Mus musculus: one gene and its partner. The protein of the gene in region 2 purifies or fractionates together with the protein of the main gene of each other region. This does not show direct contact. Links are inferred from orthologs where the notes say so. Each region holds a gene or a part of one and is shown on either strand. Other genes may lie near its edges.

What was found.
Region 1: the proteins of Cnot6l (region 2) and Tnks1bp1 purify together in Homo sapiens (affinity purification with mass spectrometry; 4 studies listed by BioGRID and IntAct, with this or other methods). This does not show direct contact. The link is inferred for Mus musculus from reciprocal best matches to the Homo sapiens genes CNOT6L and TNKS1BP1.

What each region holds. Positions count from the first base shown.
Region 1 is NC_000068.7:85,062,083-85,073,297, reverse strand, and holds the end of Tnks1bp1 (182 kDa tankyrase-1-binding protein), read right to left. Parts: coding exon 9,282-11,215; intron 3,311-9,281; coding exon 2,941-3,310; intron 2,692-2,940; coding exon 2,541-2,691; intron 2,426-2,540; coding exon 2,289-2,425; intron 1,593-2,288; coding exon 1,435-1,592; intron 1,203-1,434; coding exon 1,142-1,202; 3' UTR 1,130-1,141; intron 702-1,129; 3' UTR 250-701; downstream 1-249.
Region 2 is NC_000071.6:96,069,647-96,081,317, forward strand, and holds the end of Cnot6l (CCR4-NOT transcription complex subunit 6-like), read right to left. Parts: intron 10,490-11,671; coding exon 10,287-10,489; intron 7,747-10,286; coding exon 7,534-7,746; 3' UTR 687-7,533; downstream 1-686. UniProt on the Homo sapiens protein: Has 3'-5' poly(A) exoribonuclease activity for synthetic poly(A) RNA substrate.

The DNA of each region.
Region 1 (11,215 bases), on a different chromosome or scaffold from region 2:
CATATTGTCTCTGCTCTGTTCTAGCCTGCCCTCTAACCCCTACACCCCACCCCCAGCCCTGATGGAGTGAAGCCATGTCGTTCTTCCATTGAGGTGTTTAAATAGTTTGTCACAGGGAGGAAAAGCTAAGCTCACACAGCGGGGAAGTAGCATTCTCCAAATGCTGCCCCACAGTGGGGGAATACGAGTCACACACACACACACACACACACACACACACACACACACACACACACCACAATCCTGGACAACCCCAATTCCCAAAAAACTTTATTCATTGTTTCAAGTGGTAAAATGTCATTGGTCTCTGTGGGGCACCTAGTGGGGCAGAGGGAGACCTGGGGTGGGGCTTGGGGTGGGAGCCCACCCATTACAAAAATCAAAGGCTTTTATAAAAATGCTATAAATTGGTATCAAAAGAAAACCCAAGGGAGGCAGAAGATGGAAGCAAAGAGGGTAAAGGGAAGAGACTGAGGGAAGGACAAGACCTCCCACCACTGGGCACGGGAATCCAGTTGGGGGCTGAAGGGGTGCAAGAAGTTGGGACGGTGATACAAAGTGCATAAATGTGCCTCCCAGACACTCCTCAGAAGTGGAGGGGAAAGGAGGCTGCAGTCTGAGCCCTGGTGGGGCTCCAGCTGTCTCCTCACTTGGGGACCCCACAGGAATGGCACTGCCTGAGACTGCCAGATGGGAAGGACCTGCATTGGGTGGAATAGAGGACAAAGGTCAGAGAAGAGATGAGGCCCCTGCTTCCTCTGCCCTCTGGACATCCTGATTCCCTCATGAGAGCCCAGTGCTGAGGAGGTCCCTGCTAGGACCTCAGGTTAGAAGCTCTAAGCTGCACAGTCTAGCTCAACACATAGGGGCAACCACAGCACCTGAAAGACTGTCCAACACATAGGATACAGGCCGGTATGGAAGCCCCTCCCCCTCTTCAGAGCCAGGATAAACACCAGCCTTGGGAATAAACTTAGAGGAGCCAAGGGACCTAACCAGGTCTCCCTTGTCTCCTCCAACCTCTCACAGAAAGAGGGGACCTAAGGGCTAGAAGAGAGCACAGGACAGGGCCTCCCAAGTTCTCCATACCAGGCGCTACTCTCCCCCAAGCCCAGAAGCACAGCCTCACCTTGGCCCCTGATCAGATCTTTTTCTTTTTTAGCTTCAGGGCTTGCAGCCAGTTGGGCGACGATCCTTCTGACCTGGAAGGCAGAGTACAAAGGTCACAAAAGCAAAGTTTAAAGAAACTGAACAAGGTGAGAACAGCTACCCTCCAATCAAAAGAGGCAGTCGGGTTCAGTTGCAGGTCTGGGTGCCCCTACGTAACATGAAGCAATTAATTTCAGTTTTCCACCTCTATAAAATAGGTTTCCTCTTCTGAGGATAATACCCGAACCACAGGAAATAAAAAAAGTACCTAGAAGTGTTACTTACCCTGAGGATTTTTCTGGCTTTGGGGGTAATGTAAGGGGCTTCCCTAGCCCTGGGACCTTGCAGGACTTAGAACGCTGGACGGAAGACTCTTTCTGGCTTGATTTGCTCTCTGTCACCTCCCCCTCCTCAGCTGAGCGGTTCCGGGAGCGTAGCTTGGCCTAGGAGACACAGATGAAATATAAACAGGCAGCAAGATTCAGAAGACCAGGCCTTTCCCAAGAGTGTGCAGTCCCCTGAGCCAGGCCTGAACCTTCTACAGACAGCCAAAGATCTGTCTCCCTCAGAGCAGATCCTCACAGCCTGAACACATCAGAAAGATGACAGATGAACAAAATTCAGTGAACAAGGCTGAACAAAGAGGGGTGACTTCTCACACCTATGTTTTTACTTGTCTGTTCCTACCGCAGAGCCAACTCCTGTGCCTACCTCAAGGTTAGGAGAAACTGCTTACAAGAAACCCTACCCAAGCCACCTCCCGTTCCCAGCCACGGTCAGGAAGTAACTCCTTCTACTGAACAGGCCAGGCCATGGCTGTACTCCCCCCTTTATTCCTACATTTCGCCCTTCACCTAAGCTACTCCTGGGTGTAGACTATGCCCACCCTTCAACCCCCACCCATTACCCTGGAGGCCCTGAGATGAAAGAACACCCTGTTCTTTCTTCCATCAAACTTGGCACACTGCATAGAGTCGAGCAAGGAACAAGGTAACCTTCCAGAACCCACAATGAGAGTAGAGATGAGAAAAGGGACTATAAGGTGCATGGCTGTATGGATGGCTGGTTGGTTGGAAATGCTGGGTAGAAGGCTGGCAGGCCAGATGGCTGGGTGTGTGTGCTGAATGATCAGACGGTACCTTCAAGGCTGATGGGCTCAGGCCAGGAAAGAGGTTGACTTTCAGCCCTTTAGTGCCCAAGGACATCCGTGTCCGGCGGCTCTGAGGCTCCTCTACAACCTCCTCATCTGAAGATGGCACCCGGGAGGCCCTTGGCTCTGCAAACGTTAGGGAACGTGAATCGAGACCTGAGCAACATGCCAGACACCACCCTTACCCACACACAAGCCAGACACTGACACAGACTCCATTCAATTAACACACTGATCGTACCGGTTGAATCTTGGAACAGCCGAGTATCCGAGTCTGCTGTCTCTGACAGTCCCAGGGTACCCCCAGGCCGGATGGCTGGGGCCCGGTGCCCCCGCTTACGTCCTAGGTTGGCACGACTCCGATACATGGCACTATCAAGGATCTCAGTGTCCTGCTCAAAACAATAGCAACAGCATTGCTATTGCTGACCCGGAGCCCTACATCACCCCAGAGGAGCATCTCAACATAAACCAGGAGCTGATTGATGGCTGCTGCAGTTTCTTGTTGCCATGAGATACCCCACAGCCTATGTCTGTCTCCCATGACTGCTCAGGAAAGCTCTGAGAATGGGGCTTTGTCACCCACATACCCTGACCCCTCCAACAGCCCGTCCACCACGGCCAGCTCACCCTCCACTGACCTCTATAAAAGAGAAGTCCTCACTGGGGCAGCTGGGCAGAAGTCCTCGGGGAGGCCGCCGGGGGGGCGGGGCTGATGCCTGCTCATTTTGCCTAGCCGCCCCCGTAAGACTCCACGTGCCATCCACCTCTTCTACCTGGCTGGCTTCGCCATCAGGCTGAGGCCTCGAGGATGGCAAAGGAGCTCTGCTAGGCTCCTGGGGCTCCCCTTGGCCGGCACCTGCAGCGAGTCCTTCCTCCTCCAACAGAACCCGGGAGCCGGAAGCTGCTGATTCCCTCTGAGGAGCTCCCTTAGAGCTGCTGGCTGTCATTATCCCCTCCAAAAGGCTCTGGGAGCCAGAAGGTGGCGAGCGAGTCAGACAACTGCTGGGGCTGAAAAAGGGACAGGCCAGAAACCAGAGTCATTCACCTACCTGTGAGACCTCATTTCTCTTCCCTGAAGCATACAGCATACAAAGAAATGGCTGAGCTGCTTGGTAGCTTGCAGGGTCCCAGTCCAGGTTTTTTTCACATGCTACAGGCTGGGCAGCTTTTATCAAAATGCTTTGGGTCTACTTATAGAGTCTGGACTTTTCCAAGTTTTAAAATACTTGCACATGCATAGAACAAGATCCCTTTGTGTGTCGGTGCATGTGAACCTGTATGCTGAAGCCAAAGAACACACACCCTCCTCTCCTCGTGTGTGCCTCTACCATGTGAGTCCCTTAGATGAAACTTGGATCGTTAACACTGACAGACAGAAAGAACTTTTGCCGGCCCTGCTCTCTTTTCTTTTGACAGGATCTCTCAGTGGCCTGGGACTGAGGTAAGCTAAGTGGGCAGGCCAGGGAGTCTCAGGAACCTTCTCCTCTTCGCCTCCCCAGCGCTGGGAGACTACCACACTACCACGTCTAGCCTTTTTCCTGGGTTCCAGGGGCCAAACTCAAGTCTGTAAGTGCTTTCCTGGCTGAGCTGTCTCCCTAGCCCCTGGAGGAGCTACCTGGAAAACAAAACCCAAACCAAATCTCATATCTACCTTGTACAGACTCACCCGCCACTGGAGCCGGGTGTGCCTTTCTATGTGACACCATGCTGTGCTCAGAAAGTTTCAGATCGTATGGAGCTAAAGGGGTGACAGGACCAGCTAACAACCATTTCTAATTCTAGTTCCAGGAGACCTGACACCCTCTTCTGGTTCCCACAGACAATGCATGCACACATGATACCCAGATATACATGCAAGCGAACCACCCACACACATGAAATTTAAAAATATGTGAATCTGAAGAAATGTGTTTTAAAGTTTCAGATTTGGGGTTTTGGATTTTTGAGTTAGGAACAGTACCTGTACCTGAGCCCTTGTGTGATTCCCTTTGCCTGTGAATACCCAGTGTTCCTCTACAGAGCCATTAGTGAGAGAAAAATAAAAGCCTACGCCTGTCAGCATAGCATCCAGCACTCAGGACATTCCCAGAAATAGCATTTATTACTGCTGCCCTAAGTTACTGCTGTTCAAGATCCACTCAGGAGCACATGCCTGGATGATCACATTTTCTGGGATAAGCCAAGAAGGGGCCCATCTGCTCTCTCCCCAAGCTTACACAACCCTTCAGCCCTGAGAGCCGTGAGCCCTAACCTACAGCTCTGACTGCTTTCAATCCTGTGTGTTTGTCTTTATTGCCTGTCTGGGGGCTCCTCAAGGGTTTGTCTTTGTGCCCCCAGCATCTCTGCCCCATAGATGAGACCACACAAATGATGAGAAGGCAGGGTCACCTTGGACTTCAGCACAGCAGTGTGCCTTCTATCCAATGTTCTCTCAGAGCAAGCATAAATACCAGGATGGTATCACCCACACCATGTCCAGCTGCCACTCCCTAAAACATGCTCACTCATCAAACACCTAGGATAGGGTGGGTGGGTGCTGGTACTCGCCACACCTACATGCACAGCCCAGGGCAACACCCTAACACAAGCAGGAGTAGTAAAGGCTAGCGGGCAAGGCCTGGAAGCCAGGCTGCTGAGTAGCTGGCGATACTGCAGAAGGTAGAGAATCAGGTGAGTCAGTCTTTACCAGGAAGATGAGACAGGGACAGGGAGAAATGTGTCAGTCTGTCCTCCCATAAGCTGCTGACAGATGGAAATTAAAGCAGCATGGGAGGGAGAGAGGGAAGGAGGAGGTGACAGAGGCTATACGGTACAGCAAGACGAAGGACTTGAGAGCAAATCTGGATGGGAGCCAAAGCCAGCTCACCCTGAAGCCAGCTTAGAGTCAGGGAGGTGACTCTAACCAGACGGCAGCAATGGTACCCCACCCAGCCCAGACAACAAGGCAGGCCGCTGGGAGGACGTGAACCAACTAAGAAAGAAAGATCTACTCTCAGCCCACTGTGGGCAGAAAGGAGTAAGGAACTGTCAAGTGGGCTCTAAGGGTGGGCGGAATACGGAGTCCTGGGGAATGGGGTGCACACCCACCCAAGGGCCTCTGCCTTCTGCATCTGAGAAGCGTCCCTCGCTGGGAGCCCAGGTCATCCACAACCTAAGGGCTTCCTGGCAGGACAGGAAGGACAAGAATCTGGGTGCTGAGCCTGCTAAGCCTACAGAGACATAGGCTCTGTCCTGCAGCCACAGCAGCCTCGGCCCCAAGTTACATGCCCTGTCCAAGCCTCTGCTTCGTCATCTGGTAAATGGGAGCCATAAAAGTCCCAGAACTTTACTGGGCTTCCCAGCAGGAATGTGTGCCCATGACAAAGTTGATACTTGATAGATACAAATTGCTACCATGGTCCTTGTCATTCTGGACAGAGGTTCCTCGCCTGAGAAGACGCTTTACCTAAACCTTCCACATGAACCACCCAACGTGGCTACCACCCAAACTGTCCAACACTACTCTCCACCACTGTTTCGGATGCAAATTCAGGGGAGAGATCTGCAACTCGCCCTGGTGTTTCCGGCTCTAAGACTTGGAATGAGGAAGCATCAGTTCCAGGGGCTGGGATGATGCATCTGAAGGGACAAAGATACCACAGAGGAACATGGAGGGGACTCAGAAAGTTAGGGCCCACACGGACAGAGAGGCACTCACAATCACAAGCAGTGGGAACTTGTGTAAACCACACTCTCCCTCTGCGCCTCGGTTTCTCCATCCCTGAAATGCGGTAGCCAGACTGAATGACCTTTGAGTCTTCCTAGAACCTACAAAGATTTCAAACTGGCTGGGAAGGGTTTGTATTGTGGGGTCCAAAGGGCAGGAGCAAGGAATGACCAAGAGACCAGAAAATAAGGATCCTGCACAGCTCTGGCAGCCCCAGAAGTGCCACTCTCTCCAGGATGAGATGGCCCTAGATCAGGCTGAAGCGCACCCCCACACCATGCTAGTTTATCATAGTTATTCCTGCCAGCAGTCTGACCAAATGACTGCCATCCACAGTGTATTTGTTCAACATGAGGGCAGCAACAAAAATATCCCCAAGGGGCCTCCCTTTCTGGACACTTCACATCCACACTTGCAAAACAGATAAAAATACAGGAGACTAGTTTTTTTGGGTTTCTGTTTTTGGTTTGTTTGGTTGTTTGTCTAAGCAATTAGGCCAGGAGAGGCAGGGTCGATCACTTTACACGTGTAAACCTTCTTCATGCAAACTCCAAGAGTGCCTGGAGTAAATTCTCAGTTTACCTATGACGATATGGGTCCTGAGGTTGAGAAGGCCAAAGGCACCCTGAGGAGAAAAGGCAGTGCTTCAGGTTACTCACCTGAGGTCACAGAGGTGGGTAGAGAGTCAGGACTACCACATGGGCTCCAAGCCAGACTACTCTGACCCATTCTCAAGGGTTTCCTGATACAAAGGAAATCGCCAAATTTTTCTTGAAAGGTAAGCACTCCATGGTGTATTTATTTCCCCACATTAGACGCTCATAGCACCAGCTCACCAGACATTAGTCAGGTAAGTCTGGAAAACTTTGCTCAACTTCAAGTCCTAGATATTAGACACTGAGTCACGTGCATGGCCACAGAGCACACAGCTCTCTCCAAACATGGTACTGTGTCAGAAAGGACATGTATCAGAAACACAGCATACACCCAAACAGTGATTTCCTTCCAGCTGTGGATGAAACATGTTTTCTGTTATATACAATGAGATTCAGGTGCTCGTGCCTGGGATAAATTCTAAGCTCAGATGACCATGTAGCTGTGTCCAAAAACACATGGCTGCTTAGTGGGAGCCTCCAGAAGCCTCATCATCAAAGCCATCTTCAAGCTGCCACTGTCCTGTTAAGCCTGCAGGGAGCCTCCTCCATCCATCCTGAACAGAGAAGAGAATGCTGCTCTCCCTCTTCAAGAACCAACCCCAGTGGGGCAGCCGGCAGACCCCCACTCCTTAGAAATCTGCTTTGAATAGTGGCCACACCTGAAAGCGGTTATGAGAGGGAGTCGGAAGGTGGAGGACACCTCAAGAACCTGACAGAGACTTGAGATGCCCAAGAATCAGTAGGGGAGCCTCTACCACCTTAAGATGGTCACACCATCTCTCAACTTCACAAGAGGCCAGGATCAAAGTCCCTCTCCTGCCACATGGGGCAGCCATGAAGATCCGGGCAGTAAAATGCACCGCTGAACACTCAGGCAGAGAGGGCTGAGTCCCAGGAAGAAAACCGAGGACACAGAACCTGTGTTCCCTTCTGCCAGGACTGTTGCTGCTGGAACCCTGAGCCTCCCACAGACACTGGTAAAACAGAAGCTCAGAGTCCAACAACCAGTCCAGGCGCACAGGAACACACACCCCCTCTCGCCCCCACCATTTAGATCTGCAAATTCCCAGCCCCTACTGACAGCCATTGCAACCTCAGCCACTCCCTGTCCCCTACCCCTCCTCTCAACCCGATGAGTGGTCTGAGAACACCCTGCCTCAGCTCCCTTCCTAACCCTGAGCTCTCTTCCTCTTCCACCTCCATGCCAAATGCCTCTCTCAGTCCCCACCCGGAGCCTCCCAGTCCCTTCCTGGTCCCTCCTGCTCTCCTCCCACTGCCATCTGCCCTTCCACTTAGAACAGCCCCCACCCAACACCTCCCTCTCCTTCCCTTCCCACATGGAAGCTCCCACTCTGGGCCTGAGAAAGGTAAAGCGTTCTCCACACTGAAGAGAAGAAAACCGAATCCCAAGGCATGAAAATGCTAACGGACGAGAAGCAGTGCCTTTCCGGAAGTACCCTTTTCACAAGCTATGGAAACCATGTGGGTTGGTTTTAGAACAGCCATGAGACAGACTGGTTGGTTCTTACCAGCCTGCCTCCCACGTGGCATGCCTTTAATCCCAGCACTCAGCAAGCAGAAGCAAGCCGATCTCTCTGAACTTGAGGCCAGCATGGCCTACCTAGAGTGTCTCGAGGTCAGCCAGGGCAAAGAAAAGAAAAAGGGTTGGGGGTCAAGGTCACAGGGCAGGGACTTGGTTCTCAACAACTTCAGATTCCTCGGCCACTGCTCTTCTGGGTACTACGACAAGAGCAGGCGAGATTCCTGAGTTCCCAAACCGTTGATCAGACGAGCAGAGTCACCGTCCACTATAACATAGGCTTCGGTAACCTGGGCTTCCACAGGGTTCCTTCCACTACCTGTGCAAGCATTCCAGGAGCTCATTTTCCATCAGAGCTTGAAGCCGACAGAGCTCAGCAGAAACCATACTAGGAAGATACATCACTTGGTGACGTGCTTCCCTTGCAAGAGTGAACACTTGAGCACAGTCCCCAGATCCCACGGTGTCTTCTCTTTGCTTTGCTTTGCTTTGCGGGAGTAAAAAAGGCCAGACACAGTGGTATATGCTTATAATACCAGCATTGGGGAGGCAGAAGCCAGGTGACCCGCCTGGGGCTCCTTGGCCTGCCAACCTAGCCTACTTGGCAAGTTTCAGAGTAGTGAGACAATGTGTCCCCAAAAAGATAAGACAGTGACAGAGATGACAGCAGAGGTAGTGTCATTCCACAGGCACAGAAGCTTGTAAATATGTGCCTGCACACACACAAACTCTCAGAGAGAGAGAGAGAGAGAGAGAGAAAGAGAGAGTGTTAGCTCACCAGAAACCAAAGATGTAGCAGGTTCTACTTCCCTAGACAGCCATAACTCACGCATTGAGAAAGCCCAAAATGGTGCCTCAAATTTTACATTCATCTTCTAAAATAGAATGCATTTAACTTTTGTGTTTCAAAGTTCATCATAAAATATAAAACGTGGAACTGAACAGTCACGGCCCTAAAGGACTCTGTTTTCCAAACACTAGAGTCCACTGAGAGAGCTGGGTTTCCCTCCTCAGAGAGGCCCCTTATTTAAAGAACAGTCACACCTTCCCTCCCAGCTCCAAGATGGAGAACCGTACCTGGCTCCCAAGCTGGGTGCTTCTCCCGTATCCATTCCAGTGTCTTCAGAAGGAGTCTCAAAGGAAGGTGACGAGCTGTCTTCACCCTGTGTCTCTGGCCCACTTATTTCACCAACCCCCAGCTCCCTGGCTTCCAACGGGTCTTCAGTCTCCAAACCAGGGGACAAGCTACCACTACTCTTGGGATCTAGCTCTAGGTCAGGGCCCACTCTCCCCACCCCACATTCCCTAACTTCACTTGGGGCCCCACAGAGCCTAAGGTTCCGGAGTCCCAAGTCTTGGGCCCAGTCCATTTGCCCAACTCCACAGCCCCGAGAGCCTCCCGACTCTAGGTCACAGGACACCTCCAAATTCCTCAGGCCTAGATCGTCACCCCAGTCTACCTGACCCACCCCAAGTTCCCTGGGCTCTCCAGGGCTGCAGCCTGCTCCTGGGGCCATGTTTCTCAATCCAAGATCAGGTGTCCAATCTGCCTGTCCAACTCCACGCTCTCTTGACTTAAGGAACTCTCCGGCCTCTGCCCCTGACCAGTCGGGCTCCCCCACACCACTCTCTCTGGCCTGGCTGTGCCTTCCTACCTCTGCCTGCCCTGGCAAATCTCTGTTCCTCGCCTCCACGCTGGAAGTCCAGTCCTTTTCCCCAACTCCCAGGCTCCTGGGCTCCTCAGACTCTCCAGTTCCTAAACGCCTGGCCAGATCTCCATTGTTCAAGCCCAGGCTGTCTGACCAGCCCATCTGTCCTACAACATTCTCTCTAGCCTCGCTTGGGCCTTCAGAACTCACACAGCTAGACACCTCCAAGTTCCTGAGACCTAGCTGGTCAGTCCAATCCACAGCCCCGGCCTTTGTCTCTCCGGGAGGCACAAAGTGGCCACCTCCACTCTTCCTGGAAGGGCTGAGGCCAGCACCACTCACTCTGTCATTGCCGATGATGCCAAACTGATAGCTACTCTCAGAGGCCTCCACACACACGTCCCTGCTCCAGTCTTGCCGCCCTGGACTAAATGCTGCCTCCGACTGGGCTGCAACACCGAGGCTGAACTCCCCGGCCCAGCCTCTCTGCTCTCTCTCTTTGTCTTCCAGGTCCACGTTGGTAGGGCTCTGACTTTCTGCCTGCATTCTCCCCTGCAGCCTTGTGATCTCCTGGCTGGAGTCACCATCTTGCCAGCTGCCTTCGTCTTTTGGCCTGGCAGCTCCATCTCGAGAATGAGGTGTGCTGGGGCTCAGCAGGCCCCCAGATGCTCCTTCTTCCAGGTGACCCACATCCCTGCTGGCCTCACAAAACCTGTCTTCACCAACTGGGGTCTTCTTCTCAAACTCCTCATCTTGCTGCTGAGCTTCCTCGGGGCTGAACCCTGAGCTCAGAGATCGAATTCCGAAACCTCTCTCCTGTGAGCCGAGCACCCTTGAGCCGCCACCACCACTACTGTAATCCTGGAACCAAGCACTCTTCCCGAACTCCTGGTTCTGCTGGGCTGTGGCCCGGCTGCCATGGATGTCCAGTACAGAATCTCGCTTCTCAAACTCCCGGTCCTGCTCTTCAGCATCCTGGCTGCTGTAGCCACGAGAGAGGTTCTTCATCCCCAGTTCTTGATCATTCTCATCTGTATCCTGGTTGGTGCTCACAGACGCTCTCTTCCCAAACTCCCAGTCTTGAAGGCTTGCATCTCGGGTGCTGAAAGAACCCAAGGAATCTCGCTTCCCGAACTCCTGGTCCTGGAGCTCTTTGTCGTGGATGGAGTGAGGGTCCTGGGACTCCCTCTTCCCGAATTCCCATTGCTGTGCATCAGCCTCCAGGCCCTGAGCACCAAGCTGGGCCGGCCTTCCCACTGCCCGCTCACGGACAGGCACTTCGCTCTCGTCTTGGCTGCCACCGATTCCAATCACCTCTTGGCCAAGGCTGTGTCTGCTGGCCCACTCCCTAGTGCTCCCCTC
Region 2 (11,671 bases):
TGACCTCTCCTTGCCTTCTTTCCCAGATCCTAAGATTACCTTTATACTAACTAAAACATTTGAGTATTTTCTTGTGTCATATACAATATTTGAGAAATTATTTCATGGAGGATAAGGAGTTATCATCTTTAAATTCTCTGGAGCAGCTTGTTCATCAAAGACAAACACTGAATGAATTTATTCTGGGTCTTGGCAGGTCTAACCTATCAAGCTTGTTCAGTACTGTTTGGCTCAGTTTGTCTGATGGCTGTCTTGTAAGTCAGACTAATGGCACTAAGATCTGGCAGCTTCTTCATATTTGTAGCACATTCCCAAAGCTCAGCAGGAGGCTTCTGTTCACCCCTACTCCAGGCCCAAGGGTGAGAAGTTTCATTTTAGCATAAACTCCCACGATTACCAAGAAATCAAGATAAAAATCTGCAAAATGGAACATCACATACCATCTTATACATACTCAAGAGTGATACATGTCCATTAGTTTAGATTTCTTCTGACTAAGCATAACACATAACTTCAAAATGTATTCTATATGAAATTCTTAAGTAATTTTCACAAAACAAGAAAACAAAACATAAAATACTCATGTCGTTTGAATTTGTAGTTGGTTTCTGTAAAGCACCTTGGTTTTCTAGTTTATAAGAGAAGTACCAGCCCATAGCACAAATAATCAAAACCCAAGACCAGTGTGCGGTTGCAAAATGGCCATTTATTGCCTACAGGGAAAGGAAAAGTGGGAGAGAAGGGGAAGAGTACACAGGTGCAAGGAAACAAGCATATATTTAGCCCTATACATCATGTGTGAGCAGTACCCAATCTCCAAAATGGAAAAAAAGTATTTGTCATCTGACATAATAGTTAAGGTTCTTAAGCACCTCCCTTCTGAGCTGCCACAAGATTTAAAAGGCAGGACTGCTTTGTTTAGTCAATGTTCACATTAATGAAAAAGAATACCACCACCCAACTGTGTCGTTTTGCACACACATTTTCTATAGTGTCCACTATGAAAACATCTCAGCTGAGCAGTTCGGTCAAGATCCAGACCTTATCAACTGTGTAATAAATAGAAAAATAAAGCAGCTGGTGATTTTATCAGAGAGAATGAGAATAGAACCATCTTCTCCAGAGATGACAAGAAAGAGTTAAATGTTTAGAATATCACAGAACCAGTCTATCAAACATTAATTAGTAAGCTACAATTACATGGCACTTCATTAAATCACCTAAGAAAAGAAGAAAGGAAAGCTTAAGATTGTAAGTGATTATCAGAACACAAGTTGATTTAGTGCTTGGCTTTTTCTTAGGGGGAAAAATAAATACACAACCTAAAACAGTAGAATCTGCTTAGAACAGTATTAATAGAAATGATCAAGTATTCACGGAGAGAACTACTGAAACATCTTGCTTAGTCTTAGGGTCATGTGCTTTGCTTTTTGTATAGTTAGTTACAAAAACACTATATAGGCCACAGAATGACTCAAGTGTACGCAAAACAATAAATTAATCATCTTAATGCCAGGAAACAAAAATAAATAATCTCTTCCCTAATCAAATGGTTAAAAAGTCCATGGACAATTACTTGGCACTTATATAGTTGAAAACTAGATACGATTTAATCTCTGGTCAATATAATCAAACATCCTGGCCTTTTCAAAGAAAGCAAAAGGGTATATTTTATCTTTAGAAAACAAAAACACAAGGGGGGTGGAGAAAGGGCTACCCCACTTCAGATACAACAGAGTTAATCATTTGTCCTCCTTGAGATACTCAAAGTACTCCTATTGAACCCAACACACCTCAGCTTCTTTTGGATGAAAGTACTGCTTGCATTTGGACAACTAACTTTACAAATGCCCGTAGTGCACTTCTCAGTGCTGCTGGTGTTTAAGAAATCTGCCACTCACAACACTGAACAATTCCAGATCCAGTGTGTAGTAACAGCCATCCAAACCCCTCCTCTCTCAAAGGTCAGCAGAGCACCGCTCAGGAATTACACAGGTAAGGGAATTTACTTTTAGCAAGTTAAGCACAGAGAAAGGACAGTAGTTTCTGAATAAAGAGCAACCCACACACTGCAACACTTACCGCATTAAAGTTGAAACAGTAAGCAGGACACTAAGTCTGTACCATAAGAAGCAGAGCCATTGTTTGGCACACCAGTATTGAGCCTATAGTCTGAGTTCAAGTAACTACACACACAAATTAAACAACGTGGTACACAGAACAATAATAGCTAAGAAAATATGTGAGTCCTCTGAAATCGTGAGCAAGGGTCACCTTCCAGAGGGATGCTACCATGATTTTCCAAGGGACAGATAAACGGAAAACAAACAAATGCAGGGATCCCGCTGAAGAAAATAACCAGGAACACATGTCATCCTGAAAGGTGCATCATGCCACCGCTCCAGGCGTCATGGCTTCTGATGGCACACTTCTAATTTCAGTTCAGTGCTATCTGTTTTATAGGCTGCACCATAAAAGTCAACATTTAATAGGCACGCCCTTAATTCATATCCTTTGAAAATTAGCTTATCTTACTAAATAAAGAGTACTTTCAGTCTGTCCTTTGGATCCAAAAGTAAATCAAATCTAGAATAAATCAAGTTAACCAAACTTATGCCAAAATTACTGGGTTAATAAAACTTCCCCTGGAATCTGCTTCTTCCTCCAGGCCTTTTACCTGAGACGTCGACACGAATGCCTTTGGTCAGAACAAGCATACATGCTCTTCCGTATCCTCTTCCTGAGCAGGCTCCCACCCTTCTGCTTCCCTTCCTAGTTTTCTTTCTGTGGCTCTTGCTCAGAACACATAAGGGTTTTCTTTTATCGTTTTAAGCATTCAGGTGACAATTATGAAAGATGCTCTTGGCACCCTATTCTTAAACTTTGGTAAATAAGCAGGTTAAAGATGTACTATCATTTACTTGTGTTTGAATTTTAAATTTGGGGATCATGGTGCATTTACAGAAATTAAAATCTTCCAGAACAATCATAAGCATAAATGTCCTCTGTCTACAAATTCAAAACTTCAGTTTAAGTTCCTGATTTAGAAAAATAAGTCTAATGTCTCTACCTAATCTATCTACTTCTAATACGCAAAAGTCATACAAATAGGATACAAACCAAATAAAAGTCGGTAAACAAATTTTTAACACATTAGAAAGGTGTTACTTTGGGTTTTATGGGTGGAGAGAAGAAGAAAACCTTACAAACACAACAGCTCACTTTTCAGTCAAAATGTTTGTTACTTAGAACATGTAACAAAGAATTCTTGCTTGCTACAGGACCATTACTGAAATACAATTTGTTTTCTGTGACTGAAGCTACGAACCAGTTAGTATACTTTGCAAAACTATTAAAATATTTCAAAAAACACAAGAATATAAAAGATGAAATTTTAAATCGGTATTAAGCCAACATCAAATTTTACCACTGGGGAATGTAGCCTGTGTTAGAGATGGCGCTCTCTAACCCCTTCCAGGCGCATACCTGACCTACCACTCCTGTGTGCTCCCCTTCCCTTTGCTATTCGCTATTGAGTATACAGGTGGTATTTGCGAGTTTTACTAATTCTTGGAAGTACAATACAGACTTAAAATTTCACCTATTGACAAGACATACTCAGGAGACAGAATTTTTAAACAGCACAATATTGTCCATGTTCTAGGTTTAATTGCCACACCCTCAATTTTAACATAATCTGCCACAGATTCAAGTGATATGAGTCTTGGATTTTAACTTTCTCCCTTCTCAGAGATTTATGACTTTAAGACAAAAAAAGGAGGGGGAGAAGGTAAGTTTCATAATTCTACAAACCATAACACTAAAACATAGTGGCTTTTAAAGTACATTCACACAGGATGCTTATTAGTAAAATTAAATATCTGCTTATGAATACCAGAAATGCAATTTGAAAAGAAAGAGATTAGAACAAGGCAAATGGGGGGGGGGTGCGGGGGGAAGCTGGTCTCAGAGCCCATTGTGCCATACCTGACTTTAACATGTGATATTCAAATGAATGTTCACACGCCTTACATCAAATAAATCAAACAAAAATATTCAGCTATGTAGTACAAAATTTTTTTTACATAAAACATCATAAATCTTGAACAGATTTACTGTATCTGAATTCTAAAAAGTTGCCTATAGAATGGTGCTGGGATTCTGTTCTCTGCTTGCTTTTAGGCAGTGCTGTTGCTTAAAAGTTGACACCAGGCACAATATTGTAAAACAAAGTCAACAAGCAAGGAGCAGTAAGTGATTTGAGCCTTTTCCAGATGTCAGTCCTGAGAATGCTGCAATATTCCCCATCAGAGTGTGTAAAGCTATGAGGATACTGATGCCTGACAGTGGGTGACGGGACATGCACTTGTATTACTTTTATAATGGCAAACAGTGCAGTTTCCCCTTCTTCAAACAACACCATTTTAATAAACTTAACACTCCAGTTCTTAAGACAATTACCAGAAATCATATTGAACATTTAAAAAAATACATAGCACAATCTAAAAATGCCCAAATTTTCTCTTATCAGATAAAATATGCAGCAGCCCAAAGGCATAAAGCTTATTAACTTATTCTGAGAACTAGAAAGTATATGAGTATATATATTTCACTTTTATCGAATATATATCACGTCATTCACCTTGTCCTTTGGGCTTCTCACTGCCAAAGTTCCAAATGGCATGCATTTAACAAGACAATGCTGAGGACAGCAGCATTTCTGATCATCTGAACTGGCAGCTCAAAACAAGATACCACTCCTTTTACAAAGGGAACGAGGGGAAACAGTGTGTTAAATTTGGGCAAGAGGCTAAAGGGAAACCGTGCACATGAAATTTGGGATACCATGCCCTAGGTGTGTGCCACCCAAAACAAAACACAATCACCTACTTCAACAGAGCTACTACCAACATTTACGAAAACCACATTAAAATACACAGGATAATGAATGGTTTGAAAGAGTGCATTTGGAAGCAGAGAGACCCAATTACACACCTTCTTGCAACAGAGTGCCTCGATCATACACAAAATAAACTTAAGCTGTTTACAATGTTTCCCATTTTTTTATTTTCCCCCTCTACATTTAACTATTAAAAAAGATTTGTATTAATAAATGGGCTCCTCTGTGGTTCATATACAATCATAAGTGAACTTTAAATTTCATTTTATACAAACATCTCAAAAATATTGGGAGTGAAGTATGGTAGGAAATATTGCTCACATTGCTAGTTAACATGCATCTATGAAAAAAAGAAGGATGTTCTGTTAGTGCACATACCTCCAGAGAAGAAAGCCCACCCGAAACAGGAGAAAACTAAACAGACAGTAGCTGATTACAGAAAAAGGTAATGTCCACACAGTTAAGTTTTTCATGCTATTCTACTTTCCAGTACTATGCGTCAGGTAATCAATCTTCATGGCTAGATGTTGGATGCTTGAGGTATATAAGAAGGGATACCTGAACACTGAGGAAAATCTGTCATCAAGGGTTTCTTTTGTTTGTTTATTCAGGTACTTTAACATTTTTAAAAGAATATTTTATTTACATCAAACTTTGCTGAACTACAATGACATTCCAATTACAATAGATGACAACGCCTCTGTCACTAGGCACTTTTTAAAGGGAGTTTAGGCTTTACAGAGCTCTTCTGGATGCAATCCTGCGTGATATTACATCACCCCACCACCCTCATCCCACTAAAATTACCCTTCGGGAAATATTCTTTTATATAGCCTGATCAGTAAACTATGGAAGAAATTAGTATAAAATGACCACAGGAAATGTATCATTTAAGACTAATAAAACAGCCTAAGAGGTCAGGTTTGGAAGAGGAGACAATTTGTATATATTTAAAGCTAATTAAATAATTTAAATTTGACTTGTACTTTATATATTAGTGAGACACAAATATAGGTTATTTTCTTTTTAAATTTCATCACATAATGGAAAATTTCTTGTTTATTAAAAATATCACATTTTGATACTAGAAACAGTAAAGTGCATGAAAAGTTTACAATATAAATTTCAGAAAACTCTTATAGCAGCAAAAAAGCAGAATAAAGAAAAACTTAAAAACACAGACACAACCTTTTCCAATGTTACTGTGCCATAATTAACATTTTCTAATTTTGCCAACTAATTTTCTCCCCACAAATGGTGTTTATGCTCTCTGCCTCTTACGTAAGATTCTCAAGTGGCACCTCCTGGCCAACAATAAATGGTGGTGGTGGTGGTGTTTCCCAATACATATAGAGGCATCAAACTTTGGGAATAAAACAGTAGCTTAATTCAAATCTAGACAGTATGGCAACGAAGATTAAAAGCATATGATGGCCATTTGGCAGCTAGAGTCAGAAAAAAGTGATCCAAGGTTTTCAATTATGTCCCCAAATCTGTCCTTTCCTCTAAATCATCTCTACTGTTACCTTAAAATGAAACAAAAAAAACCAAAACAACAAACAAACAGCCATTTTACTTACTTTGGAAAACACGTATAATATTATCTGGCTTGCCCTTTCTGAAACTGACCAGGGGCTTTTCATTCAGCAATTTTCCTTAAGTGTTAAACTGTAGTGGTAAAGATATAGATCATATTTTTCCAGTACAACCGGACAGAAAATAAAAGTTTGGGCACGAAAATGAAAAATACCAGACACTAATTTTGTGGGCATCCTAAAAATACCAAATTTTACTTTCAAGATATATGGCAGTATTATCTGCTATTTCCTTATAAATGAACTTGAGAGATGGGCTTAAAGTTAATACTTCTAAAGAGATTAGGACTAACAGGCAGACAAGAAAAGAAAAAAGAGAAAAGAGAAAGGGAAAAGGAAAAGGAAAAAAGAAGAGAAGAGAAAAGATTCCTCAAACAAAACAACCAGCATTTGGCCAACAAACTGTCACATACTATGCTTGATTTTAAAGCATGTTATGCAATTGTCTTTCATTTCCCGAATTGTCTTGTTATAGCTAGTGGCTATATCAAATTTAATGTACAAATCAAGCAAATTTAAGTGCTTTGATAATGTGCAAATGACTTGAGAGCCAAAAATCAGCTTGTTATGAAAGAAAACAGAAACTCAAAGTTTTTCCTATAAGGCATACCATCATTCAATTGAAAATCTTGTATTTGGAGTTTTTTTTTTTTTTTTAAATCACCTTTTACAAAAATGATTGGCTTATTTGAAAACATTCAAAAGAATGTATTTGTTTTTAGAGAACAACAATGGTGTGGGGTCTCAAATTAGTGATTTATCAATCGTGAATGTTGGTTCCTAATATAATAGGAAAATAAATCCAATTTTAAAGTGTATTAAACTTTTGGATAGAGACAGACAGCAATACTTTGGTTCCAGCCCTAGTGCCAAATGATATCAGTATGCACAAAAATATACAGTCTTATAGCAAACACATAGTGAAAGGAACCTGAAGAAGCAGCGTTAAAGATGGCCATACTTCACTCCTACATACTTTGATTTACAACTGTACAGGTCCATAGCGACAGATCCCCGTCTCTGCGGGGCTGTACTCCACTACCTCCGATTAGGCAAGTGAACACCATTGACAAGAGGCAGGAGTGGAGGGTGGAGTTCAAGTTGTGTTAACAGTGAGAAGTGGTCTGAAGGGATGTGAGGGTGTGGACACCCAGTGATGTTGTTCTCAACCAGCCATTGAGGATCTAAAGGCCCCAGGACACCAAGCACGTTCATATGAGTCTTGGAATAGAAAATGTAGTCAATCACACCCTGGAAAGAGATTAGGGAGAACACAAGGGGAAAGGAAAATATGTTTAAAAAGAGAAAAACTCCATGAAAAGAACAATTTTTTCTTTGGAAAAATCTAAATAAGAAAACCTGTAATTCCCGATACCTGTTACTCTGACTGTAGATTCAACAAGGCTCTAATGTTTGATGGGTTATTATATGAATAAACGTGGCTCAATAAAGAAACACAGCATCTTACTGCATCAAAAAGTTTTACATTTGTACATAAATTATAAAACAAAAATGCTAAACACACAAATGTATGTCTAGGCACCTCTAAAAGACTTTCTTGGTTTAGTAAAGTCTAACATACTATACAGTTAACTGTCTAAATTTATTTACTTCAAAATATTCATTTCTACAAGTTCTGGACTGAAGCAAAATATCCATTAGCAGGAAGAGACATGCACATGCAGACACATACTTGTATTATAACATTTATTCTATTTCCCAGAGCTAGATGATTTAATTTATGGGATTAGTAAATAGCAAAACTAATGTGCCTTCACTAATCCAAGCTGCATAGACTTCACTTAACCTAGTATTTAACTATAGCAAAGAGCCCATACTCAAGCAGAAAGAAGTATTTCTACATGTGAAATTTATTCATTTATTCATTTAATGTAACAAGGCCTTGCTATGTAATCCAGCTAGGCTTGACTTCAAGACCCTCACCCTATCACATGCTGAGATTACAGGTATGTGCTATAACACCTGATGCATTGAAGATATGTTAAAGAAATAGTGATTTTAGACCAGCTCAGAAAATCAAGGCTTAAACTAATATGCCAATTTTTTTTCTAATAGTTTATGGACAAGTTAAAAAGTAAGAATCTAAAAAGTATGGAAAAAGTAATATTTTCTCTTAACCTACTGTATACTAAGACAATAATAACAGCTAGTTACTGAACACGTATTTTGGAGAGCTTTTATTAGTTCTTCTGGGTTATGTTTGCAATATTATATATTATAATTATAAACATAGGATTTAAACTATATATCACTAAGTTAAGTTCAGAAGTATTTCTTTCAACTTCTACAAAATACTAGAGCTGGTGATTTCTAACTTGAACAATACCTTTCGCAACAATGTGAACAAACGTATCACATCAGATCGGACAAGCACATAATCCACAGAAAACACTACCAATCAAGGCTTATTTACCCCAGAGAGCTAGTTAAATGCTTAACTGTGCATCACCATGTATGAGTGACCAAAACAATGCAAGCTATAAGCGGATAGATTTATGTACTAGTAAAACTATATTAACTTCTAAGCAGTTTTTGTCCCATTTCTATTAAAGCTGACTAATATCAAAACACAAATCTTTCTTCCTCCTGTCTTGGTTTCAAAAGAATAAAAAAATGAAAAAAGGAGGCTGGCACGGTGGTTTCAACCTTTAATCCCAGCACACAGGTGGCAAAGGGAGTTAATTTCTATGATTTTGAAGCCAGCCTGGTCTACATAGTCAGTTCCTGGTCAGCCAGGGTTACCCAGAGAAACCCAGTCTCAAAAAATAAAACAGAACAAAAAAGGAAAAAGGTTATTGAAAATGTGAATGAGCCTATTTAATATTTCCCTTTTGTATTATATTATAAATTCTCTAAGCTTTGTATACTAAACAACTTCCTCTATATATGTATTTTTTAGGATAGAACAAGATATACAACTCATTCTGAAAATGACAGAAAGTCAAATAGAGGTAAAGGCAATAGCTACAAGTAGACAAAATGATCAGGAAATAAACAAAAGGGGAGTAACCACAATGAGCCGTTGCCATCAGTTCATCAAGGAACATCTTGTTCTGAACATGAACAGCAGGACTTCCTTTTCTTTTAAAAATTGAAGTGTTCCATGGATGACATGGGAATATACTAATGCAACTACAGAGATAAGACTGACATTAAGTACAATCTCTAACTCTACTCCTACAGGAAACTTGGGAAATCATAAGATAAATAAGATATTCAAAGAAAACTTTTGACAGAATAGTGTATGTTCATTCCAGGGAAGCTTAGCTATATCAGGTGCTAAAATTCTTGCTAAGCACAGGTGGTAATAAACAGGTAAAGACTGATTGAATGTCAACAGTGATACATAGTAAAAAAGTTTTAGAACTATGAGCTATTATCACTATTATCTGAAATGTCAACAAATAAAAGTTTAAAAAAAGAATTTAAATGACATCAATTGTGATCATGAAGCCCAACAAAGTTCCTTGTTTAGTTGTATATTTAAGCCAGACACTAAACTAGTTTGTATTTGTTTGCTTGTTTTTGATTCGATGCTAATTCTTCTTTTATTTCTGTATTTTGCCTGCATGTATGTCTGTGAAACATTTGCTTGCCTGGTCTGGCAGAGGCCAGAGCCCTGCAGACTCTTTAGCCAATCCTACAGACATGTGCCGCCACCACCACCACCACCGGCAGCCCTGAAAACTCTTCATCATCAGGGTTTACTTTTCTATGTGCATGCTTTTATTTGAAATAGTTCAGATGCTAGTCCACAGACTGCTACTTACTTTGAAATCAAAGGTGTAATTGGTATAAGGCATCAAGTTATTTTCATAGGCGCTCTTAAGTTGGAAGCCATGTGTGATTCTCCCTTCTGAGCTTCCATTCTTTCCACTACAGCTGAAGTTCATAAGACACTCATTGTACCTTAGTTCCTTGAAGTCTTTATGGTTGTCAGCTACTCCACCGTTGCTTAAATATTCCACAACACCTAGCAGAATAAAGAACACTACCCTTTAATGTTTACAGCAAAGCTGTATTACTAAATCTTATTCTATAGACACACGATGGTTAGAGTTTGCTTAAATCCTATAAAATTCTTAGCTGGGCTTGGTGGTACATGTTTTTAATCCTAGCACCCAGGAAGCAGAAAGGCAGGCTGTTTTCTCTAAGGTCCAGGACAGCTTGGTCTACACAGGAAACTCCAGGCAAGCCAGGGCTCTGTAAAGAGATCCCGTCTCAAAAACAAAACAAATAAAATAATGGGTTCTTGTTGCTGGTGTTTAAATTCTTAAACACTAGCAATTTCATATAACTTAACATCACTAAAAGGCATTTGCCTACTTCAGAAAAAGTATCAGGATCACTAGGAATACTGTTAACCTTAGTAGTTCTTTAGGTTCAGATGACTTCTAGAATCTAGAGAGCATTCACCAGAAAGGTCTTGACATTAACTGCTTTGGTAATATTACTCTAAACTACTATGTCTTTAGCAGTACTCAAAATAGTCAATCAACAACATAGGAAAATATAAAAAAATAAAAAAACACTTATAATAAAAAATTATTTGCAATAAAAACAGGTTTTTCATCCTCAACAATGCAATGTCCAAGGTTAGCTTAGAAAAATCTTTATTTTCTAATTCTTATCTTACTATTTTATGTAGATGAGTGTTTTAGTTGCAAGTCTGTCTCCACAGGTTAGAAGAGGGTTATCAGGTTCCCTAGTACCTGAATTACTGATTACAGATGGTTGTGAGCCACTATGTGGGTGCTAGGAATCAAACCCCATCCCTCTAGGAAAACAGCCATGATCTTAACCATTGAGCCATCTCTCCAACCCTCATTTATTTTGAGTTAACTAAGTCTCAGTCTGACACCTATGAAAAACATTTTATACCAGAGACCAAAAATATTAGATGTGTATAAAAAGTTGATAGTGGTATCAGCTTCAAGTTTCCACCAAATTAGCAAACAAAACTCTCTCTCCCCTTTTATAATTACTTTGCAATAATGTTAAATTCATCTATTAACAATTAAGGATGACAAAATATGAAGGAAAATGAGTATCAGTGTCGTGAATAACTCAAAAGGAACCACAATTTATCTAGCATTTATGATATGCTAGGCATACAAACAATTTAATGAGACCAATAATACGTTTATCCCCTTAT